5 linked regions of the Coturnix japonica genome follow. The protein of the gene in region 4 binds, or shares a complex with, the protein of the main gene of each other region. Links are inferred from orthologs where the notes say so. Each region holds a gene or a part of one and is shown on either strand. Other genes may lie near its edges.

What was found.
Region 1: NUP188 (region 4) and NUP107 share a complex: the UniProt entries of both Homo sapiens proteins name them as parts of the nuclear pore complex. The link is inferred for Coturnix japonica from reciprocal best matches to the Homo sapiens genes NUP188 and NUP107.
Region 2: NUP188 (region 4) and NUP214 share a complex: the UniProt entries of both Homo sapiens proteins name them as parts of the nuclear pore complex. The link is inferred for Coturnix japonica from reciprocal best matches to the Homo sapiens genes NUP188 and NUP214.
Region 3: NUP188 (region 4) and NUP93 share a complex: the UniProt entries of both Homo sapiens proteins name them as parts of the nuclear pore complex. The link is inferred for Coturnix japonica from reciprocal best matches to the Homo sapiens genes NUP188 and NUP93.
Region 5: NUP188 (region 4) and CETN3 share a complex: the UniProt entries of both Homo sapiens proteins name them as parts of the nuclear pore complex. The link is inferred for Coturnix japonica from reciprocal best matches to the Homo sapiens genes NUP188 and CETN3.

What each region holds. Positions count from the first base shown.
Region 1 is NC_029516.1:31,998,573-32,004,226, reverse strand, and holds part of NUP107 (nuclear pore complex protein Nup107), read right to left. Parts: intron 5,464-5,654; coding exon 5,385-5,463; intron 4,737-5,384; coding exon 4,623-4,736; intron 3,168-4,622; coding exon 3,077-3,167; intron 2,148-3,076; coding exon 2,071-2,147; intron 1,665-2,070; coding exon 1,605-1,664; intron 908-1,604; coding exon 762-907; intron 647-761; coding exon 598-646; intron 1-597. UniProt on the Homo sapiens protein: Plays a role in the nuclear pore complex (NPC) assembly and/or maintenance. Required for the assembly of peripheral proteins into the NPC. May anchor NUP62 to the NPC. Involved in nephrogenesis.
Region 2 is NC_029532.1:4,689,813-4,695,466, reverse strand, and holds part of NUP214 (nuclear pore complex protein Nup214), read right to left. Parts: intron 4,385-5,654; coding exon 4,281-4,384; intron 3,666-4,280; coding exon 3,483-3,665; intron 2,998-3,482; coding exon 2,912-2,997; intron 2,823-2,911; coding exon 2,739-2,822; intron 2,401-2,738; coding exon 2,152-2,400; intron 1,455-2,151; coding exon 1,293-1,454; intron 1,133-1,292; coding exon 1,024-1,132; intron 1-1,023. UniProt on the Homo sapiens protein: Part of the nuclear pore complex. Has a critical role in nucleocytoplasmic transport.
Region 3 is NC_029526.1:558,175-564,301, reverse strand, and holds the start of NUP93 (nuclear pore complex protein Nup93), read right to left. Parts: upstream 4,063-6,127; 5' UTR 3,952-4,062; intron 3,672-3,951; exon of another isoform or gene 2,762-3,671; intron 2,751-2,761; exon of another isoform or gene 2,666-2,750; intron 2,137-2,665; exon of another isoform or gene 1,870-2,136; intron 205-1,869; 5' UTR 170-204; coding exon 1-169. UniProt on the Homo sapiens protein: Plays a role in the nuclear pore complex (NPC) assembly and/or maintenance. May anchor nucleoporins, but not NUP153 and TPR, to the NPC. During renal development, regulates podocyte migration and proliferation through SMAD4 signaling.
Region 4 is NC_029532.1:4,031,243-4,037,527, reverse strand, and holds the start of NUP188 (nucleoporin NUP188 homolog), read right to left. Parts: upstream 3,573-6,285; 5' UTR 3,527-3,572; coding exon 3,501-3,526; intron 3,228-3,500; exon of another isoform or gene 3,197-3,227; coding exon of another isoform or gene 3,171-3,196; intron 2,168-3,170; coding exon 2,113-2,167; intron 1,726-2,112; coding exon 1,652-1,725; intron 1,081-1,651; coding exon 996-1,080; intron 377-995; coding exon 296-376; intron 1-295. Other genes in the region: DOLK (dolichol kinase), read left to right, coding at 4,503-6,050. UniProt on the Homo sapiens protein: Component of the nuclear pore complex (NPC), a complex required for the trafficking across the nuclear envelope. Required for proper protein transport into the nucleus.
Region 5 is NC_029547.1:53,324,695-53,330,348, reverse strand, and holds part of CETN3 (centrin-3), read right to left. Parts: intron 4,014-5,654; coding exon 3,822-4,013; intron 1-3,821. UniProt on the Homo sapiens protein: Plays a fundamental role in microtubule-organizing center structure and function. As a component of the TREX-2 complex, involved in the export of mRNAs to the cytoplasm through the nuclear pores.

The sequences.
Region 1 (5,654 bases), on a different chromosome or scaffold from region 4:
TGTAGGGAAACTAAGGCATGAAACACAATTCAAATGCACCCATGAAACTGGCTGGTGAGCACAGCACCAGAAAGGCCACGGCAGCTGAGTGTACCTGGCTGGCTGCTTCCATCTGCAAGCTTTTCATTTGACCCCATCTAATACAGTTTCAATTTAATCTTTACAAAAATTAACATCTAATTTATCTATTCCAGCTTAAATGAAAGGACAAACACAGTGTACTAAAAATATACATACTTCTTTTGAAAGACCTGCTCTGAAATATACATGCGAACCTCCCACAAAGAAAACCCCAAGCAATCATTCTTCACACATTTTATCAGAGTGTTAATAATGCGATTTACATTGTCTGCTTTGCACGTCTGACAGCAATTTGTGCTCCGCTGTTTCTTCAGCACATTCAATTAGTTTGGCAGATAAGAAACAAGACAAAACCTGCACCTTCTTCATCATTAAAAGGTGTCAGAAAAATCTATTTGAATGAAGAATACATTACAGGGACAGAAAGCCAGTCACTGTTTGATGAAATAGAGGAGCACAAAGGACTGTGTAAGTTAAAATAGCCAACAGTGAGGAGAAACTGTCAGCAATAAATACCTTCTTGTCTGTTGCCTGAAGTTCTTCAAATACTTTTTCTGAAGTCCAGCTTTAAAGTAGAAGACAGAAGGTTAAAAAAAAACCCCACACCACAAACATTACATTTAATACTGTGAAACGATCCTTTGTTGAGGGGAGGAACACAACTGCTACCTAAAACTTACTTGGTTTCTAAATACTCCCTCGGGAGCTCTTCCACCTCCTCGGCACTTACTACTGATGTTCGTATTTCCTGCTCCACGAGTGTATCCACCATGACCCTGAAATAAGCCCAAACGGTGTCCTCCCACGTGTCACAAACTGGAAGAAGCTGCATATTTTAAGCAACAGAACAGAGCAAAATGTTAGAGATGGAGAACCATCAGAATCCAAACACACCAACTGTAACTTAGGATCAGTTTTTTTTCCTCAGGGACATGATTTAGCAGAGGGTTGTTAGATGGGGTCATATGGTTGGGTTGTGGTTGGACTCGATTATCTTTAAGGTCTTTTCCAACCTGAGCAATTCCATGACTCTCTGATTTGCCGTCTTTGTGCTAAAACTTCATATCCAGTTCCTTCTCCTAAGTAGTGATTTATTTACATACATGTACAAAAAGCATCGGTACTTAGAAGAAGGAGAGCACAGAAAATACCTGGAGGATTCAAACACATAAGAAGAACTACTTGAAACTATCAATAGTGAAATTTGGTTACACTGACAAATCAGAATATGGTGCATGGGCAGAAAAGTGGCTGCACAAGCTTTTAGATAACACTAACATTTCAAATCTAAAACAACAAAATCAAAACCGGTTGCCCTGAGGGTCAGCAACAATAATACTAAAAAAGTCTATTAAGTATATTTAATTAAGGCAGAAAAATCTTGCACAGACCATGTCTGTTATTGCTATTGTCATGATTACTAAGCTTTTGAAAGCACATTAAGAAGAATGTCTTTATGATGTTATTATCACATATAATAATTCACAAGTGCTGAACACCATGTACTAGGAGGCCTAACATACCTGCTTGAGGTTTCCACTGAGTGCTGCATAGATTGCTCTCTCGTATCTGTTGAATTGCTCCTAAAATAAACAGTTGAAAAATTACCCATGAGTTAAAAAGCACCAACACATCCTGATAAGTTACATTTTATTAGAGACTAATCCATTACTAAGTGTTCCATGCACTTGAAAAGTTGAAAAGCAATGGTTTTTCCTTTCCCATTCAGCTGAGCCCAGATGAAAACCAGCATCAGCAGCTTCACTCTCAACTAAACAAAACTGACATTTCCAAAGCCTTAAAGATTGATGCTGATTGGGCAGGTTTTATCTACATGAAAAATATATTATTTCAGAAGTCCTCTTAGAAACATGAACCGCAAATCCCCACAGACAGTAAACCAAGAAGGCAGGCTTACTTAAAATCATGTTATAGTTCAAAGAAGTTGAACATTTCACATGACTACCAAGCAAATTAACATTATCTTACCTCTTCAGCCATCCGCCAACAACATATTTTCCAAATGCATCTGTATGGATTCCCTTCAACAGGCCGGACCTCGTTTCCTGTTTGCAAAGGATAATAATAATAAAAACAACACTCCAAAACAAGGCTAAGACACCAGTCGAGATAAAAGTAATGGGATATCAGGGTTTGAAAAGCAGGAAAGCATTATGCCTTCCAGTCTCAGGTGTGCACAGCACTCAGACATGCTCATAAATCCTTTGCTAAATCTAGCAAAGTCCAAATACTATAAAACCATGTATTTTTCCTCCGTTTACCTTTGCAGAGCTCTTTAGTCCTATTATATCTCTTGGCTTCCAAGAGATCTTGGAATGCTTATGGACTCCATCTTGGAGTCTATAAGCAATAAAATGTTTGCTAGCTGGCTTAGTGCCTTTAAACTGGAATAGCTTTAAACTGAAAGAGGGAAGATTTAGATCAGATATCAGAAATCCTTAACTGTTAAGAGTGGTGAGGCACTGGAACAGGTTGAACAGTGAGGCTGCAGATGTCCTCTACCTGGAAGCACTCAAGGCCAGGCTGGATAGGGCTGTGAGCAACCTGGTCTAGAGCGAGGTGTCCCTGCCTGCAGCAGGAGGTTGGAACTAGATGGTCTTAAAGGTCCCTTCCAACCCAAACCATTCTATAATTATAGAAGGCAGAAGGTTCTCTGACATAGAGAAAACACGTACTGAGACATGAATGGTGGTGGTGAAGATCTGTCCAGAATTCCTAGACATCTGTTTTCCTAGCTGCTATGTTTGTATAAAAAAACACCCAAAAATTGACTTAACTATGTTAAGTGGATTCAGTGAACTCATACCTTCAATTAAATCATCTCATGCATGTTAAATGTGATCAACAGACATGGTAAAACATATTCTAGGCACAAGAAAGACCCTCAGTATTAAATAAAGAGCTAATTCTCTTTGCTAAAGAGAAAACCCTCTGCTTATTTTTACAGTTCTCAAATGCAGATGGAAGTAAATACCTCCATTTATGTTGGGATCATGATACAATTTCCATCCTTCCAAAGTTGCAGCTCTCCAGGCCTGACCGCATCGTTTGCATAAGCGCTGGGCCTGAAAAATAATAGATTTTCTCTGCAATCGACTTCAAGGGAAGAAATGCAAACGTTATTAAAATCATTCATTTGTGTAGGGATTGCACTAGGCAAAAAAGAACCTGAAACTCAAAATAACTGAAGAATTTCAAAGTAATGAAATGTAATCAGTGTGTTTCTCATTAAATGTTTAAGTTTTTATCAATACTTACTTGTAAGTATGATAGATGCATTACAGTCTCACCCTTCTGGCTTAAACAGCTGTTCCATGTCCTTCTGACAAGCTTAAAGTACCACCTTGTTGCTTAAATCCCTTAACCATCTCTTCACCTACTTTTCTAATTGACGTAGCTTTCCAAACCCCTTGTGTGCTGCTAAAAATACCACGTCTAACTTTCCCATGATATCAATAGCCTACTCACTAGAACAAAGAGATTTAATTCGAAGCTATTTTGAACAGCATGGAATGACAATGGTCAAGCTCACATACTATATTTTATCTATCGTAAGATAAAGGAACCAAGGCTGTTTCTTGGTTTTAACTCTTTCAACAGAGAATAAGTGACTCCATGCTTATCAGATAGTAGGAACACCGTAGTGCAACTGAAATTGAAGATTTATATTCATACCCCTCTGAAGCAACGTGGACTTGTGCCCATACTATCAAACAATGAATGGACAGGGGAACAGAATACCAGCAAGTGACCAACTTTCTAATCTAAGGTCTTAGACACAGGAATCTGAAGTACCTTTTCCTTTCCATTTTCCAAATGTCATATAATTGTAGAGCCTGGTATAAGACTGAGCTTCCAGCTCAGACCACACCACAGTACAGCTAGTTACGTTAAATCACAAAAGCTGCTTCACAACTGGACATCTTTACTTGGAACAGCATTAGGACCAGGACTGCCAGATGTTACTCAGATAAGGATTAAGGCAAAATATAGAATCATAGAATTACCCAGGTTGGAAAAGACCTTGAAGACCATCAAATCCAATTGCAGCCTAACCAGAACCCTAACTCTAAAAACCCTACACTAAATCATATCCCTGAGCATCACATCCAGACGGCTCTTAAACACATCCAGGGATGGGGATTCAACCACCTCCCTGGGGAGCCTATTCCAGTACCTAACTACCCTTTCTGTAAAGAAGTTCTTCCTAATATCCAACCTAAACTTGCCCTGGCGCAACTTGTATACGCATTGTATATTCTGTAGAGCAGCCAAGAAGCAGAATTATAGTAAAAGGGTGAATGGAGAATAGTATGCTTTCTAGAATATTCCAATACAGTCTATTTGAGGTTTTTCCTTACAAAGACACCTGGCCAAACAGTAAAGGTTAAAAAAAAAAAGGTAACATGCTATGCCATGACTTTCCCTCAGCTCCATTCAAATCATACAGCTTTAATAGTAAGGTTTTAAACAAGTTAAACTACTTAACCGAGAATATTCTTTCATTTTCTGAGGTTTACCTCATCTGTCATCCCTGCTCTGATAAGAGTGAAGAGATACTTCAGTAATCTTGCATCGTCTTCTCGATCCAAATCATCAAGTGGCAGTTTCTGTCTAATGGGAGCATCTGGATCCTGCAAGGAAAAAAAGGAACCATCCATCCATTCAAATAATGCGTATCCGCCTCTTCCAATGATTTCCTGTCCTGTTTTACAATTCAGAGTCACATTTTCATATTGGCACAACATGTTATACAGCCCACATAATCTCTAGCATGATGCTTCCTTGTCTTTATTTCCTTTATTCCTCTTCTGTCACTGTTCCTATCAACTGTAATCTCCTTATTTATCACTATGCCTCTGCCTCAAACCTCTCATCTTCCAGCTCTTCCCACCTTAAAAGCCCTCTCCCCTTCTGCTTATCAATCTACCTGTCTATACTCCTCCAGCTTCTCAGCAGCCTTTTCACACTAGTTGTACTTGCTTCTATTTAAAACAAATATATCAAGATCTGATAATTTTAATCATTATATTAATCATCCAGCGACTTCCAACTTTGGCATTCACTAATATCCTCTCATCAGCGACCTCCTTACTGCTTCACCATTTCTGTACTGATTTTCCAACTTAATGCCTTGTCATTTTTAGATACTACAACAATTTATAGATACCAAAAACTGCCCCGTTCCACCCATTTTTAGAAAACAGCATATGTGTTCTGTGCAAAGCATTTTGAATGGCTTTTATGCCCAAAACCAAGTCTTATATTTAAATAACACTTACCAATTCTGTTACCAGAGGTCGAGAACTTCCAATGAATGTACTTAACTGTCGCTGCTTCAGGATATGTAGCGTATTCTCCCTGGGAGCAGTGAAATGTTTTTGAGAGAAAGAAGGGATTAATAGCAAACATTTTAATAAGACATTAAAATTAGAAAATATTTCTGGATAATTGGAATAGGGTTACAAGAAAGGAATGCTTGGTTTGGTTTGTGCATCAATGAACAGTGTTATCGTACAATTTCATTAGAAGTACAATACTGGAATCAATGC
Region 2 (5,654 bases), about 660 kb from region 4:
GCCTAGTCCACACTTATCTGGATAAAGAATATGCAGCTCCGCAGGGAATTCTAATCAGACATACATGGTGATTTATCCTGTTTTTAATGCCTTGGCACCATGACAAATGCAGTAACCTCAACTTTGCTCAGACTTTTCAGTAATGCCCTTGTCTCCCCACCCCAGAAACGGCCATGCATTATCTTGGTCTTAAGCATTCATAGGAACATCAAGCAAATATAGTTTCAAGGTCATTACCAGCAGAGGGAAAGGGACTAGTTCTGCGGCTGGTGACAGAGCCTGGTGATAAGACAGAAATCTCTGGAATGAGCTGAGCTGGCTGTTGTTTCTAAGCAGCAGAAAGTTACAGCTAACTCAGAAGAAAATTTAAATTCAAGGTTAAATACCAGAAGCCAACTTTCATAGTTTCCTTATGCGGATGACAGCTTTACAGCTCTGTATTCTTCCAAAGCAATCAACACTCAGCCCTTCAGTCAAAAGTCTGATGTCAAGAAATTTAAGACAAGTTTTCAGAGAAGCAAGAGTGCTGTTCTACCTCTGCCAGAGGGTGAGTCAGGGAACAGATGGGAGAGGCATGACCCCAGAGTACATAATATCTGTAATTGACGAGGAAGTAGAAAGAGCAGCATCTAGACAGCTTAAGTCCACAGACCACAAGCAGCAACAGAGGTGCACTTCCATTGCAGAAGGAGACCTAATAGTATCAGTGACTGGAAATCTCAGATGTGTGCGTTCACAATAAAACTCAGCTAGATTTCTGCAAGAGAAAATGAATTAAAACATATTTCACAGACAAATGAAGGATGATAATATTGGTTTTGTCTGTTCATTCAAGGATTTACTAACAGCTTATCCTGATCTGGAAAGAAAACATATTTTCTATTCATCCCACAAACTCATGACACACTTCTAAACACACTCACCACTGACATTATATCAGACTACTGCTCTACACACTGGTAGATGCGCCCTATTGCAAGCACTAGCGAAGGCTACCATCAAAAAAAGGGTGATCCCACTCACCCTATTACTGTAGAGACAGCTGGAGTCAAAGCACCTGTCTTGAGTTCTCGTACATTCACCACCTGGGGAACATTCTTCAGAGTTGATTCAGTCAAGGAGGTGCTCACAGCTTTAAGAAAATAAATAAATAAATAAATAAATGTGGTAAATACCTTCCCCATATTAAATACTGCAATCAATATGGTGTCTCCGAGTAACTCCAAAAGAAATCCATGTAAGTTTCTATTTGCCCAGTCAAGGGTGACTTGAGCAATCAGCCATCCTTTTACCTGGGGACTGGGTGGCCATCTGCCTTCGCAGAGCTGCTGCAGCAGCTGCCTGTGGTGCTGGAACAGTGACAGTGGGAGCAGGGGCCCCATGTTTCACAGTCTTTGTTGCAAGCATTGTGCTGTCTGCCCCTTGTGGGATGATTCTGTTTGAAGACGTAGGCACTAAACAGGAAACAAAAAAAATATTACAGTTCACTGTATCCATTAAAATCAGGAAAACTTGAAATCCTTTGCAAACTACAGTTCCTGTGATTTCACAGCTTCCATCTGATAAGACAGCTGACACTTTTCTAGCACAGACAGTTTGAGTACCTCAATGAATTCAGCATGTACATTGCAGTAGTTGTTATTTCAGTGCACCAGATGACTTTCAGTTTGTTGCTGTAGTCACTTCTACTGACAGCTTACTTTTCATTTTGGGGTTCGAGTTCTCTGACTGCAGACAAGGAAATCTGAGTATATGCACATTTAGTTCTTACTGTTTTGGGGCTCAGAAGTCCTAACCTTGTGCACACTCATCAAATGCAGAAGTACTTCAGCCTTCTGTTTTGAGGGGCAGCATTTTAAAAAAATAAGACAAATTACTAAAGGAAGACAGTGCCATCTATGGTCAGTATGATCTATAAGTAACAAGCAGTCAAAATGCAGTGAGTCAAGGTCCTTTAGTGCATTTAGGTACTTCAGTGTATTCCCAAGCTTACAGTGCCACTCTGCTAACTGCTTCTGGGAATTTGGCAGTGTAAATCTCCCTGCTGCAAACTCATTTCTCCAGGATTTGAAGCAGCAGCAATTTATACAGTGGTAAAAGACACTGACAGGAATACATGCAGAATAGCAGAAACACTGCAAAATAACTCACATAGAGTACCACCCAAGGAGGGGTGTTGTTTCCCAAAGGATGGAGGCTGAGGCACCAAACCAGGCTGGATAGATGGAGTGCGGACCACAGGGGCATGACGAGGGACTTGAACAGGAGCAGCCTCCTCTTCCTGGTCTGCTGCCTGCAGATCCTCATTCTCCAGGGACTGGGAAACTGAGGATGTTGAACTTACTTCATCCAAATCTTCATAGTATCTTGTGGACAAGAAGGCAGATCGGGACAAATTTGCTACAACAACAGAAATAAAAGACACGTGTACACTAAGGTGAGAGAGTCATCCATCCTAACAGCTAAGACATACATCCTATTTTAGGATGCTCTTCTAACTGGCTTGCTTTAATCCTACATTGCTAGGATACGACTTCCTAACTGCCAGCAAAGGCAACTTTTGGTAAGATTGTAACTGAAGTAAATTCTTACTCAGGGCAGATGAGGGAGCAGCAAGGGTGAAGTAAGGGCAGAGGCTACGAGAAGCTGCTCTAAGCTAATTTCAGGATTGGTTCCCACAGGAGGTAACTCACCCTCTTACAAAGCATTCTGGACTTTTAACATAGCTAAAGGTTTACCTGGAGCCGTAGACCTAACTGGTGGAGTCTTCCTCTTGGATAGAAAATTCCTCAACTGTGTCAGTTTCACAGGGGGCAATTTAGCTGGAAAACAGAAGAGAGTTATTAAGTCTATACCAACATTAACAACGTTAACATTTACATGTGAACACCAGGAAGGAAGAATACATTACCAGGTACTTTAGGTGGGGGTTTGACGCGTGATTCCAAGGTAGTTTTCATCAAGGCATTGCGCAGGCTTTCAAGGTCACTGTCAAAACTGTGACACAGCAAAACAATTAAACAGGATCAGCAGAAAGAAATCAAACAAATTAAGAACAAAAACAGGCCAAAATGAATCACTAGAAGTACTAACTTATCAGGAAGAACAGCTGGCTCCTCTAGATACCATGCTATTTATATGTACGTATCTTGATTTACTTTGGAAATTCTTAAGTTATTCACTTCTTCCCCTGAATTCAGACAAACAGCAGTACCTCTGTCCAGAGGTTCAATGGTTCAATTATCCTGATTATGCTATTATAAAAAAATAAAACTTTCAAGGGGGAATTTGTGATGAGTGTTAACGTATCACACAAATACAAGCGAGCTTCTGCATTACCTGGGCATAGTTTTGTATCATTTCTAGGATGTACTGTTCTCACACATCACATCCACAATCATTTCTCGGTGGACACACATCTGAATACTGCTCAGGGCAAGAAAGCAGTGGCAACACCACTCAGGAACTTGCATTTCACATACCTTTGAGCATTGCTAAGAGGGGATGTATCACTGGGAACACTCCACTGAGATGTCTGATTATACAGTCGGAGCTGCTGTAGGCTGTTCACCAAATGATGTAGTCTCTTCTTCTGCTGAATGATTATTTCCCGGTTATTAGCAAGGGTGTTAAACAAAGTCTCTCGTTCAGGAACAACCAGACGCCTTGAGACATAAGACCAAGAAACACAGATCAAAATGGTTCTACAGATCTGGCTACAAGCAGGCATGAACATACAAAGTGGTTTGGTAGATCCTGCCAGTTCTACCCCATGAAGTCAAACAAAGATTGTTTTAAACACAAAAGGCAGAATCACAGAATTATCAAGGTTGGAAGAGACCTAGATCATCCAGTCCAACCATCACCAATACTTCCCAGTTAAATCATATCCCTAATATTCTGCTTGTCTCAAATGCATGTTTCTCCTTTGGGTATGCTATAAATGTGTTTAGCTCATTTACTAGAAGATTGGGAGGTTTCATTGGCTTCCACCAATGGATGCATTTAGTCCCTACACACCTTATTTTACAGGTTTTTCTATCACAAGCACTCCTTTACCAGGCAAGGAGATGTAGCAAAATGTAACAAACTTCCACAGCCCAGTAATCTGAACCTACAGCTCTCTTCTTACCTGTCTTTGTTAAACTTTATTCATAAACCCCACAAAAAAAAAAGGTTGTACTGTTAAACAGAAAAAGGGTTTTGTCTATTGATGAGAGGCAGTGACTGATTCGTTGATAAGATCCTCACAGTCTTGTATTCCAGTTTCAGTTACTTACTTCTGCTTTCTCTCCTTTTCCAGGTGCCGATCCCATTCCAAATCCAGAACGTCATTCACATCCTGGACAGCATATTTTACATACTGGTGCAAGCGTCGAATCTCCTGCCATGCAAAAAAAAATCAGATTTTAATTCACTTCAGAACCTGCCATTTCAGTAGAAGATGATGAAGACCCTTTGGGTTCAAGCAGTCCAAGCCATGTGACACCTACCCATATTTTTGCCTGGAAAATTTAACCAGCATGACAATGCAACATAGAGAAAACCTAGTTATTAATTTGTGGAATACGTACAGGGTTTGGCCTGGCTATTTTATCCTAGCTCTGAACAATAAATAAGGCTTTCCATAACATTTTCAAAGCACTGCCATGTCTTTTCAGAAAAGGGTGGTACAAACATCAGGCATTGTACAAAACAAATCTTATTTCAAACTTCATTTCCAGAAGATGAGTCATTTGCTCCCACTTCACAATGCTGAACTGTCTAACAGTCATAGGTGATCGAATCCTTGTAGGCTATTCACATGGCTCCTGGAGTACCAGCATTCACAAACCATGATTCACAAAAGCATTCGTGAACACTTGCAGCCCTCATGATAATGAAAAGAATTAACTTGATTTTTATAGGTTGGAAATGAAAGAAGTAAGGCACAAAGAGAATTAAGTGGCTTCTCCATAACAACACAGATGCAAAACTAGCACAATGAAGCCAGATACGTCTCACCACAAGACCTGCTCCTAACCAAAACCAGCTTTCTGTCTCATATTTGTCACCCCTCCAACCTGTCACAGAATGAACATGCCTTTAATTTGCATTTCATAAAAAGGAAATAAAAACCTCATTTCGTTTCAGCTCATCTCAAATGAATGTTCGCTTAAGCACAATGATGAACCAGCCAAGTAACGTTTGGGAAGGATTCCACTGCAAAGGTTTTCAAGATACGGCATGAAATTCTATTGTAACATAGCCAACCTGAAACCAGACCCAGCACTACTGCAAGCTTTGTGTTGCACATAACAAGGCACTGATTTCCCCTCTAGCAATTACAAGCGTTACATAATGTCAGTTCTGAACAGCACATCAATATGCATGGACATCAGAACAGCCTTTCTTTAAAGCTTCATTAAAAACTAGTATAAGAAGCTAACCCAAGTGTTCATCCAGGTGAACAAGAGTGATGCAAAATGAAGAAAATCTAACTCAGAGTAAAGCTGTCCTTATAGCAAACTTGCCTGCAGTGAAACCTCGAGGGGAATTTATCAGTGCACAAAAGTGTACATCTGTAGGGCACATTCACTCTGTTTTTCTTAGGGTTAAACAGCATTCTCATTACCAGAACTGTAACAAAGAGTGCACAAATTTTGACTCATCAC
Region 3 (6,127 bases), on a different chromosome or scaffold from region 4:
CTGCAGTCTCCTGGGACGTGCGGGTCAGGGTGCAGGAACGCAGGCGCTCCCCAACCTGCTGGATCTCCGGCAGGCTGCGTTCCACATGAGGGAGCTCAGAGATGCCCTCAGTCTCAGCTGCAAGCTGTTCTGCCTGCTGGAGAAGCTCTTCAAAGCCTTCAGTGTCCATTTCTGCTGCAGTCTTTATCCACGATGCTCAGAAGCCTTCAGAGAAAAATAAAAAAAATTGAGAAAATTCTTCAGCTATAAACAGCTTCTACACCTACAAGCACTCAGAGAGACCAGCAAGAGCTGCTCCTCTAGAATAGAACACTGTTCCATCAGTCCTCCCCAGGCAGCATCAACTATAACAAAGCATTTAAACAGTATAGTTTTGTATTCCTGATATTCCACCATTCCTAAGTCCCCTTGGGGAGGATGGGTAGAAACACCTAAACATCAAGGAGATACTTTCAGGTGCTCTCAGAGCACTTTGCCTAGCAGGATGACATTCTGAATGCAGATCTATGGTCTGTCAAAAAAGCAATGCAGGTACCATGTGACTATGTGACAGTTCAAAAGGGGAAGAACAGGAAGTGAAGAAATCCATGTGAAAGTTTTTGTGTTAATTCAGCTATAAAGCATTTGCATATACATCTATTTTTATATATACGTACATATAAGGAGCTAGGAGATATGGTTTAGTGGTGTTATGTAGATATGCTAAAGGGAGGACGGTTGGACTAGATGATCTTATATGTCCTTTCCAATTTTGTGATTCTATAATTCTATGATATACTTTTATATAAAATAAAAGAAGATTTGTGGTACATATACACATATGGGGATACACATGCCCCAACTAGGTCCCAAGCACCAACTCTGGCTCTTTAACTTAAAAATAAAATCAAGAGGAACCGGTTCAAGTGAGCCCTTGAATCTAAAAGAAAACGGTGCATGTTTACAAACCAGAACTCACCTGTAAATTCAAAAGTATCTCTTGGTTTCCCCTTTGAACTACACTAAAGCAATTTTAACAGTACTATTTCATATTCCTGGTATTCCACCGTCCCTAAGTACAACTTCAAGAGGCAAGAGCACTGTTCTGTGCCTGGACAAGAAGTGACTTCTAAGCACTACGTGGTGATTCACTCGGACACATGCAATCAGGGACAGGACCTGACCCCTGCCCATCACACATGGAGATCGCTGGGTGTCAGGATGAGCTCCACAGCCTCCATCCAGGCACAGAGAATTCCACATCCATCCCTCATCCACCTCTGGAAAACCAGGAGCTGCTAGGGGACGTAGCAACCCCATGTGCACTGACCTATTGTTCAGGAGAGACAGCAGGGTCTGGATTTGTTTGAACAGACTAGCATGCCACTGAGATGGCTGGGAGGAGAGAGGGGCGTGGTGGAAAGCAGCAGTTCCATGCTCTGCAATGCAGTACAGAGCATCTTTCCAGTGTTTACTTGTGATACCTCAGTGTGCCCCAGCAGAAGCTGCCTGCACTGGCAGAGGCTGACCACAACAGCCACGCTCCTGTACCGTTAGAAAGCAGGAAGCAGTGAGTGCAGGAGCAGCACAGACTTCAGCTTGATTTGATTCAAATCAGTCTGCTTCCTCTTCTCATTAAGAACAAGATGAAAAGCCAAGAGTGTGAGAAGGCACTGACTTCTCAGAGCTCTAAAACCAAAAGCACAGAGAGTCAGGGGACTACAAATAGCTCCACAGACTGCAATTGTCAAGCACGGATCCCAAGTCAATTCCATATACAGGCTGTCCCACAAATCTGCCAAGGTAGGACAACCGTAATGACTCTGGAAAACAGAGACTGAATTCAGCAAATATAGAATAAACTTGTTAATTTGAAGCAACTCCAACTACCTTTGATTATAACCAAACACTGGGAATGAGAGCTCAAACCTTTCTCTAGAGCTCAAACAGCAGCGTGTTCCAAGGGACAGACTTCAAACATCCAGACCGGGTAACAGCATGAACTACTTAGTCTCCATGCTGTCAGAATTTACTGCATTCAGGAGGCTGCAGTCTGACTCCAAATGCCGCTGTGCAAGATGGAAAACTGCTGCCACAGGGACGAGCAAATGACAGCAGACTGTTGTGTCTGGCTGCAGAATGTGCAACAACTTACACCTAAGGGAGAGAAAATACACCAGAAATTAAACTAACTTCGGTGAAACTGGATCGACCCAGGGCTAGAAGCCAGGGCTGAAAAAGCCCTTCTGTAAAACGACTTTGATGACTTATCAATAGAAGCTGCTGCATTAGTCTGCTATTGCTTGTCCAATAAAAGCCCCATTTAATGTTTTCCCAACATTTAAAACCGCATGTAGATGTTACAAACTCTACAAGCTGGCTGGATTTCAGCCAAAATGAAATCAGAAATGATGACAGGTTTCTAATTCTGTTCAGACTGACCATAAATGCCGGCTGGTCGTGGAAAGCCAGGCCCTGCAGTGCTAGCAGATGAAGAGTGCTGTCCTACTCCAAATACGGCCATGCTGAACATTTCACCATATGAGCTTCATAAAGACTTCAAGCTGAAGAGCTCCCATGTGTAAGCAAGTGTCTGCTGTACTTCATACACTGACAGTCTTTGTGCCACCTAATTATAATTAATTTATTTAAAGAGACTGACTAAAAATTCAGAGGGAAGCCTCACCCACTGCAATCAGAAGAGCTGATAAAGAGTACAATCCAACCAGGGGCAAAAAGATTCTTCCCAAGACAAAACAAAGAGGAAGAAATCCAGCGTTACCCTCTCAGAGTGCTCCAGAGACCCATGTGACAAGTCAGCATCCGCTCCCTTTGGAAGGAAGAGAGTAAGTGACTGAGTATGAAAGCAAAGAGCAGGCGGCAAAATACATACATGTATATCTTGAATGAATGAAAAATGCCACTTCCGTGATATTAGACACTGATATTAAGCTCCTTTCTAAGAATGCAGGAACTGTCAATGAGCTTGTTAAACAGAGCACACGTAGGGCAGGAATGGTACAGACAACTGAGCCCCACCAGCAGCACACACAGGTCACCTGCTCCCGCTCCCAAGGTCTGTCCCTGACTCATTTTCAACTTCTATAAGGGAAAAGGACCGATTGCAAACCACACATCTATTACATGTTGTCCACAAATTGCCCTCTGCTACACGACTTTTAATCAAACCTAGCAAAGGGAGCCACACCACCTCCTGGTTTAAGCTAAAAGCACAAGCCACACTAAAACCAAACACGTAAGGGCTCCAAGCTGCATGTGGTGCTCCAGCTGGTACAGTGCCCTGGATGTAGGAAAGTCCTGAACAGAGCACACAGCAACGAACTCCTCAACTCAGTGTTCATTCCACCACCCACAAATTAAATCAGCTGCCATCCCTATATTTCCCAGTCCTGTATGCTTTGTTCTTCAGCTGCAGGCAGGTGTGTAAGTTACCAACCCTTTGATCGCGGCTCCCAAGCTCTGGTCTCATAGAGCTTTTACAGCACAAACTGAATAAAACCAGCTGTTTCTGAGGTCTTACTGCACTGCCGTGCCGCCTGCCCTGCTCACTCCCCTCACGCTCCTTATGTTGTAGCTCGGATCCTCTCCCCACAATCTTTCCTTTGCTATCAGCACCGCAGGAACAAGCAGGAACCACACGAGCTGATGTAGCCATTCCCAGTCAGTCCATCCTTTCGGTCCCCTCATGTCGGCCCCACCCGCCATCACCCCGTGCATCTCCCCCCGCCTCCAGCCCTCACACAGCCCGGCCCGGACCCCCGGCAGCGGCCCGCACAGCTGGCAGACATTGCCTCGGCCCGAGGGCACCCGCTCACAGGAGGCCCCGCGCCTCAGCGCCCGCCCAGGGCAGGGAGCGCCGAGCTCAGGAGCCGGGGAGCAGAACGATGTGAGGACGGAGGACGGAGGCCGCCCGCACCGCGATCCCCGCCGCGCCCACCGCCCCTCACTCACCTGCCCGCCGCTCCGGCCGCCGCGCCTGCACGCCCGCGCCGCGCGCCACCATTGGCCACGCTCTCCCCCTTCCCCGCCAGCCCATTGGTCGAGCCGGCGCGCTTCCTGACGCTACGCATTTCCATTGGTTGTCGAGCTGAGTCCCGCCCCTCCAGCTCGTCTCGCGACAAGAAGTGATTGAGGCGCTGGGAGGCGGCGCGGGCTGTGCGTGGTTATGGGGGCGGTGAGCCGGGAGACGCGGGTTCGAGGCTGCCCGCCGCCTCTTCCAATGAGGAACGGCCCGACGGCCGCGCGGGGCCGGGGGTCAGAGATGAAAACACTATAAACGAAAAGCGGAACGCCTGCAGACTGCCATCAGTACGGCTGTTCGCTGCCCTGAACCCCCACAGCCATCTGTTCCCCATTCCCCACTTGTGTCCATTGTGCCATGTAGGATGTGAGGCTCACTCACTCACATAAAGAAAAACTTGATTTCAATTAAAAAACCCACCCTGCAGGGACCCCGGGCCGCACACCCCCCTCAGCCCAGCTCCCCTCAGCAGACATTGCCCTCACACCTTCCCACAGCGCTCATGTTTGAAGGCACGGCCCCCAGAGCTCGTCCTGGGGGCTGCTCCAACCCGGGGCACGGCTGGGAAGGAGCCCAGGCCCTGATTTACAAGGCAAATACACACTGAGCGGGGCAGCCCCTTTCCCATCTCCAGCACCACCCCAGCGAGGGGCCCGGGGACTCAGGGCCACCCACCCCACACGGCTCCCAGCCCCATTGGAGGGCACGAGCTGTCCCCACCCGCAGAGCATGGGACGAGGCAGCATGGCCAGGAGCAGAGCACACAGCACACAGACATGTGTGGGCAGGCTGTGCCCTGCAGCACAGGTAGGGCCAACTTTCGCTTGGCAGGTGTATTCGGAAGGAAAAGAGCAGCCAGGCGCCTTCCCACGCCCCCACCCCCCTCCTTGTCTGCCCCCCCAGGGCAGGAGCCGGCCGGGCTGTGCTCACACCTGCCCCATGTGGCACCCTGAGCCCCCCACTCACCAGGGGCTGTGAAACAGAGCACCCCAACTGCACGACACCACTCTGTCCCCTCAAACCACAGCCCACAGGGGGTTGGCGCAGCCCCCAGCACCAGTGCTCCCACACACGTGTCACAAGCAGCATCAGGGCTCAGCCAAACTCATTTATTTCCTCCATCAGCACAGAAGGTACAAAACATGTAAAAATAAGCTTTGTTTTGTGTTTGTGGCCCCCATCACCCCCCACCCTGTCCCCAAAGCATGGCAGCTATTTACAGGCGAGGCGGGCTGCTCAGTGGCAGCAGCTGCACTTGCTGCTGGCTGGTTCCTTGCAGACACAGCCCTTGGCACAGTTGTTGCAGCCAGCGGGGCAGCAGGAGCAGCAGCCTGAGGGGGAGAAAGGAGAGTTAGGGGTGGGAAGGATGGGGTTGGAGATGTAGTAGTATATGGGGAAGGATCAGGGGACATCGTGGAAATGGGGATCCCCACGGAGCAGGGATGTGGTTCCAATGGGGTGGGGAGGGTTCATAGGGATCCTGCGTGTTGGAGATTCTCCCCTTCTTTCTCCATAGGGGAGAAGTGGGGGGGCTTCCAGGAAGAAGGTAGGAATCATCCTGGGGGCTCTATGGTGTACAGGGAGGAGTTCCACAGAATAGACACCTCCAGGGAGAGTGGGGGGGGTTGTGTCCATTGGGGGTCCTACAAGAGCAAGTGGACAGGGGAGATGGGGGCATTCCATAACAGAACCTACAGAGCAAGTCAGGGCCAGGAAAGCATACACAGGAGTCCTACAGGAGCGAGTCAGGGGGGGGGGGCTATCCATAGGAGGTCTGAAAGGAGCAAGTTGTGGGCAGTTGTACATGGGGGGTCAGACCACATTAAGTCAGAGGCAGGGAGGGAGTGTCTACTGGGGTCCTACAGGAGCAAGTGGGGTGCAGGGAGAGGGTGTCCATAGGGAGCAAGTGGAGGCTGGGGAGCTGTCCATAGGAGGACCTACAGGAGCAAGTTGGGAGGTGGGGATAGGGCGGTGGGATAATGTCCATAGGGGGTGCAACTGGAGTAAGATGGGGACAGGGGGGTGTCCATAGGGGTGTCCTACCAGAGTAAGTCAGGGGCCAGGAGGGGGTATGCACTGGGGTTCCTAAAGGAGCAAGTGGAGAGC
Region 4 (6,285 bases):
TTTGTTCTTCATCTCCACCCACTCTCATTCATACATCTGTAGGTTTCCTCTGCTCCTGAGACAGAGATGAGCCAAATCCTTCCAGATTCAAGCAGGAAGAGGACCAGAAAGTTAGACCTGAACTTCTGCTGTCCCACGTCTGTACAGTGGTAATTGGCCACCGCAGGTTCAGAGAACACAAACTACAGTCTTTTCCAATTCAGAATGTGGGGTTGCATATGATCGTGTTCATCAACAGATTACTGGTATTGTGGACAGGTGTATAGTGAACAGGAAATAAATGGGAGCTAAGGACCTTCAGGGAGTCCCTCGTTCCTCTGTAATCTTCCTGAAGATAACACTGTAATAATTGCACGCTCTGCTCTTCATCCAGACCCTGGAAAAAAAAAAAGAGAGATGTTCTGAAATGAACAAAAGGTAACTGAATTCATTAAAGATTCTCTCCAAATATTTCAGGTTGAATTTCTCTTCAGAATAAATAAAAATAGCATATTTTTGCCTTTCAGGATGATGCTTGTTTCAATCAGCACTTCAGTTGAAAGCAAAATACACAAGCCTTGATGTCACTTAGGTGCAGCCAGTTAAAACCTCAGCAGAGGAGCACCACAGTCATTTAAAGAAAGATACTGCCACTGGTCACCTAACCCTCACTCCCAAAGGGGAATCACAAGGAATGTAACCTTGCAGGTAAGCAGCATTTTCAAATGTGGCAGATACCTTAAGGGATATTGGTTTTCAGCTGAGCAAAAGATGTCTTGAAAGAGCCCGAGACCAAAGAGGATCACTTCCGAAAAGCAGGAGGGAATGTAAACCAGGAAAAACAAATCACTTCATAGAGTCACTAACAACCTCAGGAAAATTTGATGTAGAGCCACTATGGGTAGTTGTAACCTTCTTTAGATTACTTTGAACTGAAAGAAACTTAACTTTGCCTCTCCTCAGCATGAAGAAAACACAAGGATAAGAATAATAATCAGAAAAGCACCTTCACTCACCAAAAACTTGCTGACCCTCAGGCCCAGCTCTTTTAGTGGAGCAGCTACATCTTTATCAGCTTTTATCTTCTCTGCTGAAGTTGCACTACAGAAAAAAACAGTTATCATTAAAAACACAGCAACCCCAAGGAAAGAACTCAAGAGGCTTAATTTCCAAGTTATCAATTTTACCAGTTTAAACTGAACACTTGTTTGCTCTCAGTGGCCTTTCAAATATGTCATACAACAACAAGCAGCAGTTTTCCTACCAGACAATACTCAACACTGTTCACTACTTTATCAGTATAATAAACACAGGCTATATTCACTCTATCCTTTCCAGTGAATGGATCCAGTTATCTTTCTGACACGAGTAAGTGTCAAGAGAAGACACTTTGCTGCAGAGTGCAGACTTGCACTTGGGCTCCACAGTTGGGCAGAAGTAAGGATGGGTTAAGAGCTTTCCAACATTGGTAATGACAGTAGAAGCTACTGTTATTTCTTTCTGGCCTGTATTTTATGCCCTAGAATAGTCTGGATTAAACACTTCACACTGTTGCTCCTTTCCATAAAAAATCTATTTTTACAAAATCAGAGAGAAATATTCAGTATGCCCCTCTACTTATTATTAGATTCCATTTTAGACATTAATTTCTACAATCAGACAATTACTGTACCTTGGAGGCTTGTAGTATGAAAGCCCTTCTAACAATCTCTGCCAGTGCTTGTTCAGTTCTGATGCAATCTGTGCCTAAAAAAAGAACCAAATACTACTGAACAGATTCCTCAACATCTCCAGTCCAGTAGCAGATTTAAGCAAAGCAAAGAAATTCCACCATCACACAGACAGGAACAACACAAGGCAAATAACAGCATCTATGACTCAGACTGATTCAAGGTGAGTGTTGTAGGAGAAAGCTTGCTGCTTTGCCTAACATTAGGAAAGGAGAAGAAAGAGAAGGTGCTGGTCCAGGTTCTGATACATTTGCATTTCCAGCCTCTGGGCACTGGCACACTCTGACACTGAGGACAAGGAAAAAGCAGCAAAACTAGTATTCAAACAGATGTGCAAGTGATGGATTTGGTCATGGAGTCCATTAAGTGACAGGTGAACAGGCTTATCAAGACACAGACTTACTGGTTCTCTTAAAGCTGATCTGCCCAGGAGAATTGTCCACAATTCTCTGCTGCTCCTGTAAACAAAGAGAAAACATGGAGACTGTTTTAATAACAAACACCATTTCAGACTTCTACTTAGCACAATTATTATTAACGTTTTCTACCTCCATTCAAAGATGAATAAAAACCAGGTAAAGAGAAGAAACACAACGTGTTTTCAAAGGGAAGTCCCGCTAACCTCAGCTCTTCAGAACATGCACCTGAGCTTCTTGTTTCTTCCTGCTCCTGAGAAACTTATAGGAAAACCAACCCGTGCTGGAAGGTGCTACAAAGCAACACCTCACCCTGGCAAATGCAACTGCAAAGATGAGTGTCCCTACAACAGCTCTGCAGAAGCACAGGTGCCAAGCAAGCTTAAAACTCACCATCTGTCAGTAATGTAATACAAATCAGGAGTGAAAACACCACAACTCCCCTCACTCTTTAAAGAAGAACACCCAATAACTTATCTTCAGATTGGCATCATCAAAATAACCCATGTAAAAGCAGATCACCTGTAACGCCTGACACGTGGTGCCATTAAAATGGCTTATGGAAGCCGCTACTTCCAATGCATCCATCAACCAGTTTCTTTCTACTTCCAAACTCAATAGGAGAACTTCCCTGTGTGGGACCTGCACCCCATCAGAGGGAGAGCAATGGGAGGGAAGCTCCCTTGCTGCAGCCATAGGGAATAGAGCTGTTCTTGGCCCCATTGGGGGTGTGAGCTTTGCTTTAATACAACTTAAACACCGAGGGGCTAAACGGAGAGACAGAATAAACGACCAAAAGGGCAGGAAAAGCAGCGATCTGAAGGGGCTCATCCCATCAAAGGGCTTCCTTCCTACAGCTCCCACGTGGCTGCCGGGTGTCAGCGAAGGGCTCCCAAAGAAGCGAGGCCGAATGGCCACATTCCCGCAGGGATCTGCCGCCCAGAGCCGCCCTAAGGGCACGGCCAGAGCCCACCGAGCACAGCCCGACTGCTGAGGCGGCCAAAGGGGGGATTTCCACAGCTACACCGCGATGCTCTGCACCAACCGAAGCAGCAGGAGGGCTGGAGGCATCCCAAGGGAGACAGCCCAATAGAGACACCTCAATGGAGTCACCTCAATAGAGACCCCCCCAATAGAGACACCCGGATCCCTCAGGGCCCCTCAGCCGAGGGACGGGGCGGGCCCAGGCGGAGCGGGAGGCGGGGTCGGAGCGGCGCGGGCCCCTCGGCCGTTAACTCCCCCGTGTCCCCCCCCCCACACACAGCCCCTCCTCTCCTCCCCGCCGTGCTCCTCGCCCCCCCCCATCAGCAGCAGTTCGCTCTCAGCGCTGCTCGCCGCCCCCTCCCCAGCTCTCCGTCCCGGCCGCATCCCGCACCTCGCGCACAGCCCGCCCGCCGCCATCTTCGCTGCCCCTCTCACGTGACCCGCGGCGGCCGCTCCGCCTCCGCTCCCCCCCCACACTCCCCGTTACGCTGGGTCATGTGACCGGCGACAGCGCCAAGATGGCGGCGTCCAGCCAGGTAGGGGAGCGCTGCGGGGAGCGGGGGGCAATGGGGGGCAATGGGGGGGCAATGGGAGGCAATGGGGGGCAATGGGGGGGCAATGGGGAGGCCGCGGCCTATTGGGGGGCGTTGGGCAGCGCCTCCTGTCGGGATCTGGGGATGCGTTGAAGGCTCCCAGCCCATTGCAGCCTGGCCCCTGCTGTAGGCTGTCCAAAGCCCCGTCCAGCCCGACCCTGAGGGCTGCCAGATTTGGGCACCCACAGCTCCCAGGACCTCTCCGCCCTCGTTATTAATGGTTTCATCCTATTATCTAACCGAAATCTGCCGTGCTCTAGTTTAAAGCCCTTAGCAGATAGCCCACTCTCCGCTGAGGAGTCCCTTCCCGTCCGTCCTGCCCCTTAGGCACCGGCAGCGTTACCTGGCAGGCACCAGAAAGTAACGCAGCAGTGCAATACCTCGTGTTGCAAACCTGCACGTCAGCAGCCTTTGCAGGCTGGAACAGAAGATCTGCATCGCAGGTGGTGAAACTGCTCCTTGTCCTGTAGCCCAGCTGGCAGCTTGCTGCAGTGGAGCCATCTGGGAATGGTTGTGACTTGCTTGCTTCATATTTCATGTCAAAGATGTAATTTGAAGCATTTCTGTTGCAATATCTGAATACCCGTGTATTGAGCAGTTGGCTTCTGTCAGCACAGCTTGGATTCTCCAATAGGGATAATGGTTTTGGCTGATCCCTTCTGATCTCTGACAACGTTTGTCTGTTTGTTTTTAATAGGAATCACAGTAGCATAAAAGAATTCCTTCTAGTGGACAACTACTGAGAAGATCAGGACCCATAAGAAAGATCTTGAAAGCCAAAGCCACATTGGACTGGAACCATGTTAAACAAACCAGTGCTGGTGGAATCCCTGATCGTCTTCAGCATCGTTCTGTGTGTACATGCAGTGGTGTGGGACCGCTACTCCTGGTGTGCTGTAGCTCTCGCCATCCAGGCTTTCTATGTCCAGTTCAAATGGGACCGTCTGCTGCAGCAGGGGGGAGCTGTGTTCCAGTTCCGCACCACAGCGAACAGTGGGCTCCTGCCTGCCAGCATGGTCATCCCCTTGCTGGGGATAGCAATGAAGGAGAGGTGTGAGGCTGCTGGTATCGTGTACTTTGAACGCTTTGGTATAGTTGTAGCTTCCACTGGGATGTTGGTTGCTCTATTTTTGTCTGTAATTGCTGTTGGCATCACAAAACCTGTGCCCACCAACACTTGCATACTCACTGGTGTTGCTGGCAGTATAATTATCTATACCATGAAGCACTCTTTGACTGTTTCAGAAGTGATAGAGGTCCTAGAAGTGCTGCTAATTTTTGTCTACCTCAGTATGATCTTGCTTTACCTGCTGCCTCGATGTTTTACTCCTGGAGAAGCATTGCTAGTTCTCGGAGGTATAAGTTTTGTTCTCAATCAGCTCATTAAACGCTCACTGAATGTAATCGAGGGCAGAGGTGAACCCATAGACTTCTTCCTTCTGGTGGCAGTTATTGGAGTTATTATTCTTGGCCTTTTTTTCACTGTTCTCTTCATTTTCATGGATTCAGGTACGTGGATTTCCTCCATGTTTTTCCACATGATGACAGCAGTGCTAGGCTTAGGGGTCATCATGCCTTGGCTTTACCGACTGATCCGGAGGAACCCTTTGTTTTGGCTGCTCCAGTTTTTGTTTCAGACACAGACGAGGGTTTACCTTCTCGTATACTGGACTTTTTTGGCTGCTTCAGCGTGCGGCATTGTTTTCTACCAGAATGCCAAGAGATCGTCTGAATCTAAAAAACACCAGGCCTCAACCATAACCAGGAAGTATTTTCATTTCATTGTTGTAGCGACTTACGTTCCTGGACTAATTTATGACCTCCAGCTTCTCCATGTTGCTGCAGTCCTGTGTCTGGCAGTGTTCATATTCTTAGAGTATATTCGGTACTTCAGGATCAAACCGTTTGGCCAAACTCTTCGGTATTTGCTGTCTCTCTTCTTGGATGAAAGAGACAGTGGGCCTCTAATTTTGACTCACATTTATCTTCTTCTTGGCATGTCCCTCCCAGTGTGGTTGTTCCCCAGATCTTGTGCCCCTAAAGGTGCTTTGTCTGGGGCAGGAGCATTGGTGCCCTATGCTGGGGTGCTGGCGGTAGGGGTAGGAGACACCATGGCCTCTGTTTTTGGCAGTACCATGGGGGAGATCAAATGGCCGGGCACAAAGAAGACCTTTGAAGGGACAATGACAGCAATTTTTATTCTGATCTTTGACAGCAATGTCAACCTGAACTCCAGCTATGCCTGGATTCTGGTGTCTGTGAGCTTAGTTTCACTTTTGGAAGCTTATACAACCCAAATCGATAATTTGCTGTTACCTCTCTACCTCCAGATCATGTTCATGGTTTAGAAGCACTTCCAAGAATAGAGGTTTCTCCATTTCTAGAGCAAAGCAGCAACAGAATATATGCACATCAACCACAGATGCAAGATGATCCAAGCACTGTTTTTTCTTTTGTTTAAAAACAAATGAGAAATAATTCTATTTAAAATAAAAGTTTTGTTTCAGTCTCTTTTTCTGTAGTTTTTTAAGAGAGCACAAGGTGACTTTTGTCAGCACAAAAAGAAAATCACTGGGGAGAATC
Region 5 (5,654 bases), on a different chromosome or scaffold from region 4:
TGCATTACACAGAAGCAACATGTTCCCTGCATGACTTACAAAGCATTATCATGGTTACCTAAATAGTATTAAATCAATTCATGAGTTTCTATACCTGTTGAATTTTTCACACTTTGATTTCAGATAATTACATCTTCCTGTAAGTTCTCTCTTATGTACTGACATGTCTTTTCCATGTCAATTATTCTTCAATGCATTATTGTTCATACAATGTAGTGGCTAGCAATAACCTCATATAAACCATCAAAAAAAAAAAAAAAAAAAAAATCAAGATTAGAAGCAAAGAAAAAAGAAAAAGCCAGACCAGTTTGGGCCTATTTGGGCTCTACTTTATTGCTTTACTTTCAAGGGTAGTTCAATTCATGGTCAGTTACCACAAGAGTATGATGTTTATTTTCCAGCGTTTAGAATTATAAATTAAGGCTTTACTGCATATAACTAAATCAAACAGCTATTATTTTATATTGGTCAACAATCATAATGCTGCTACCTATTTTCACTTGTTGAGTTTATGAGACTGTTTTAAGCTATACATAGAATAGTAACTGGAAAGAGAATACACCTCAAAGTCTATGAACTTGCTTTCAAAATTATGTTATGGCTTTACAATTTTTGGTTATCAGTATTCCACACACATCATGTAGTGCACTGGGAGTTAAAGTGTTAATGCTCCAGTTCCAGGTGCCTGTCTGGAATAACTGCATAACCTGGAGGACTCTGTGGTAAGAGTGGAGACAAAGCCCCTGGCAAGGTCATCTGATGTCTCTTTTCTCCTTTGGCTCTTCTCCCTGTTGCTTTTCCTGAGCGCACGCATCACTTCAACACTACTGTAAGGCCTACAGCTTTCAGATACTCTCTCTCATTATATTTTATTCATTAGCTTCAATTCTAATTATACTGTATAACACATTATCTTGCATTTCAATACCATATTTAGTAAATTAGTTTGTTTCTCCTCAGATTGTTGCCACTGTTTTAAATTATTTTGGTGTCCCCTGTTTCACTTATCCAGAGATGTGGATCTGCAGATCCCTCCACCCCATCACTCATGGAACCAGGCTGAACCAGCCCATAAACTGACAACAGATACAGATTACCTTACAACAATTACTTTTTTCACTGTTTACTTGAAGAAAAGAGCAGTAGACTCTGTGTATATGAACATTTCCAACAGCAGTTATCTGCAGGATATATTTGGAGTCCAAAGCAGCTTTTCTGCAAGCCACATTAAACATAAATTCAGAGATGAAATTTAATCAGTGTTGTTCTAAGAAAAAAAAAAATGGATCCACAAACATATCTGGCAAGACAAGTAAGTAACCACAGAAATTGAGCTTTGTCCTAAAACATCACGATTAAGGTATGATTCAAGTGTCTGCTGAAGGTACTAATATTTTACAAACAAAAGCATCACTTCCCTTAAATAGTAATACTTCTTATTCATTTTATGACACATGACTAAAATTAAAACCAGGCTTGAGGTTCCATGTGGTTTGACTCATGAAAAAAAACAGGATAAACAATTAAAATAGAAATAGGAAACATTTCCACAATGTACTGAGGGTACTGGTGTTTTTTTTTTTCTCTACTCCATTCACAGAATGTTAGATGAGTAAGTTGGAGTCCTTAATGTGCTGCCCAGTTACAGACGAACTACTGAAAAATATAGAACGCTACCAAGTGATACTTAGAGATTTTTTCCCCCTTGGCAGGAAACAAAGGAGAAATAAATGAGAGCAAGACTTTGTTACATGACCCAGATGTTTGAAACTACATGGAACACTGACTCAGAAGATTATTTACTTTCCGAGACTGAATCTTAAAAGCTAGAAACAGTACTAGTTTTCTTTAGAGAACAGAAAACAGAACCATAAGGAACAGAACTATGCAAATACATCATGCTACCAATCTTCCACATTCAATCTTATTCCAGACTTCTCTAAAAAAGAAAATTAATGGATGAATAAGGAAAATGAACTGAACAATCTCAGAAACTTAGTACTGATCCCCCCAAAAACTAAAATCTTCCTAGAAGGAGCTAAAAGTTTACATTGATTTCTACTGACCAAACAGTGATATGACCAAAATCATCCCTGATTATCATTCTGACAGTTGAGTTGGCAGCTCTAGAAGGGTAACAGAGAACAAAACATGCTTGTGGTTGATCTATTCTACTTGCTATCCCCTCTGCAGCCCCACTTTCAAATAAAATGAGTCTTTAATAGAAATAAGTAAAAGGTAACATTGGCAGTGCCACCACTACTTTTAAAAGCAAAATAAACTTAAAATAAAGCTGTCCACTTAGAATATTTGTTATACTCTGTTGTATAGCTACTGAGGTGGATACCAATGCAATAAATGTGTGGAAGGACACATCTGGCACATAAAAGAACATCAGAATTATGCAGGTTCTACTAAGGTAACATAGCCTCCGGAAATGAAGTGAGATCAGGAGGTGGCATCTTCTAAACAAAAGTAAGAGTCTTCTTAACATTATACAGACTTTTGTAAAAACAGTGTCAAGATTAACAGTCTAGTATCAACAAAAGCACAGAGCTTTTAGTATTTTTGCCTTTATGCTCCCTATTTGCATCACTAAAATTAAACAACATTGGCATTTAAACTGTGCTGACTAAGCTTAGAAGTCCTGTTCTTCATTCATTTCCCCCCATTTCTTGGAGGTGGGACAGGGGAGGGAGGAGAAAGGTTTGTATTTTTTTTTTCAATATTTGAGTAGATGCAAAAACAGTACAGGCCAACAATTAACAAGCTTGCAATTGTATGATCAAGTGTGAAATAACACCTACCACAAGCAGCACAGACTGAAGTATCTGTCACAAGACAGACAAAAAGGCAGGTGCTGTGAATTTTGTTTTTTTCTCTATCAGAGTTTAGACTCCAGTAGATGTTGCTGACAAATAGAAATGTTTTGCAACTAAAAAAGTTGAACTACTTCTGAGATCTCAGATGAGAGTCATCATCCTGAAAGAAAAACTCACAATGGTTTCTATGACTCAGAAATGCAGAGTATATGCAGATTGTCTTAAGTGAGTGGCTCCTGAAATCCAGGTATTAATGCTTCTAGTTTAAATACAAAGATTTAAGTTCATGGAGGAAATAAAGAAGGGAGCTGAACAACAAACAACAACCCTAAACAGTGCCTGTTACTTAATTCTTTATCTAGCTAATAAAGCTCTTCTGTAGCTCACACTGTATGGACATTGTTTCCTCAGAGGAATTTTCCACATCACACTCCTCAGCTCTCCTAAGTACAGAGACATGTTAGAGTCTTATTCTAGGTGATCCTGCTTGGACGCAGGGTTAAGTTCATCACAACTTAGTAGCATAGTTCTTTGTATCTGACCAACAAGCTGAAATCACAATAGTGACACGCTACTGCTTAAGAAATATTGGACCAGGTGATCAAAAGAGTTTCTTCTGGCCTTTTAATCCTTTTACTCATTGCCATTTTAATTCATACAGATACCAAATTTTATTGTAGTACACAGACACTTCCATGAACCACTTAATTATTTAACCAGAGGAACTTTAACCAAACTTTGAATAGGTATGGGCTGGTTGATTAAGCCTCAGTGAAGGTGAGAAATCTATTTGACTTTTAGACTCCACCATGCTTCTTCAGGACTAGTAACTATCAAAAACTATTTTCATTTTACATAAGCTAAGTTTGAGCTGAGAGATATTTAGAAAGAAAACAAAGAGAAAATTGTCAATTTCAGGCATTTTCAAGATAAAGCTATGTTAAAATAGGGAGAAAATTAAGAGATAAGAATCCCACATCGTCTATGCTTAAGACTTACTTTCGCCATCTCCGTCCTTATCAAATTCTTCAATCATAGCCCGCAGTTCTTCCTCAGACATATTTTCACCCAGCTCTCTAGCAACACGACGCAGGTTTCTCAGGCTTATTTTACCAGAGTCGTCATCATCAAACAATTTGAATGCCTTGAGTATTTCTTCTTGTGGATCTCTGTCCAATATCCAGTCTGTCACTGTAAAGATTCTGAAGTTAGACTAAAAAATTCTGAAGGGTAAACAGAATGACAGGCTGACTGAGGTAACAGAAAGAATATATATTCCAGATTTCATCTGTTCTTTCATTTTTAAACTATTTCAGTTCACAGTATGCATGCGTACTTGTTTGGCAGCTATCTGGCCTTTCTTTCTCTACTCTCTTTTCAAAGCTGAGTTATTCTTCAGCATATATCAGGCACAGTTGAAAAGTTACATGGCAATTTAGACTATATCATGCTTTCAATAGGCTTTTCTATACAAACTGAAAGTATAAACATGCCTTTTCTATTTGAAAAATGCATTTCAGAAAAAAAATAAAATAAAAAAAACCATCAGCTCTCACAGAACCAGGCACTTGAATTTGTTGATTTTAAATATTATGATCTGGATAGAATTTTGACTTTCTGAGAACACTGAAACAGCACGAAGTAATTAAAAACATTCTCATGTAATTTCTCTTTTAGATACAAAATCACACTAACAAAAAACCAACAAAATCAAAGCTTGAGGTTTATGAAAATAATGCAACTATACACAGTGAAATGTTAATTCTGAAGGGATTTGTTACTGTTGGTTATTCCTTTTATTGCATCCATTTGCTAGTTGCTGTGACAGAAAAGACAGCCAAACTACAAAAATGTTTTTTCGGTGATTAATTCAGACACTTCCGGAATCAGATGCAAATATCTTCATATTTATGTACCTGCTAGTTTCATGTTACAGGACATGGTATTTATGACTTTTATCAAACCATTAAAAACACATCATCCTTGTTTGTGCAAAGACAAACTTACATCTGCTACTGTTTGCAGATGGAATGCCTCCTCCAGCTTAGCAAACTTGAAAGCAAAATATCAGATCCAATCTCATGTAAGCTCATAAAGCAATAAGGATTTTGTTTTCACTTTCATATTTATATGTATTTATGTATTTTATATATAATGTAGATTGAAATATATACAAAAATCACTCATATTTATATTTAAATATTTTCATTGAAAACAACTATGACGTGTGACAGTAGTAAATTTAAGAAACTCTACATTTATGGCAGTAAGGCATAAAAGGGAATAAAGGCAACATCAGCTAACAAAAAACCACTGCCTCTAAGTGCCATAGATAAAATGATTGTACAAAACAAGAGGAGATGCAACTATGCACATTTTAGATGGTCAGCTCTGATATTTAAACCACAGATAATCATGCAAAACTGACAACTAAACAATTGTTAAACTACATTCAGCCAGCTCATCATAACTGTTTTTATAACCTATTTTCTCTAATCTTTCTGCTACAAGCTATATACAGTTTAATTCTGTGTCAAGGGCATACTTGTCATAGCCATGCTCAGACCTCAGATTCAAAGTTTTTTGATTGATTAAAACTGCCAACCAACTATTTGCTGTTCTTTCTACATGAATCTTCCTAGCTTCTCACAGCACTTATTGTCTATATTGATAAATAGGACAATAAAAAGCTGACTCAGGACACAACATCAGGAGGGTGAAACCTTGGGCCATTTTAGGAATTATTGGATGAATTCCCCAGGAAACGTCCTAAGGGACATCAGAATGGAGAAGAGATGGAAGATCTTCAAGGACAGCTTTCTGAGAGAACAT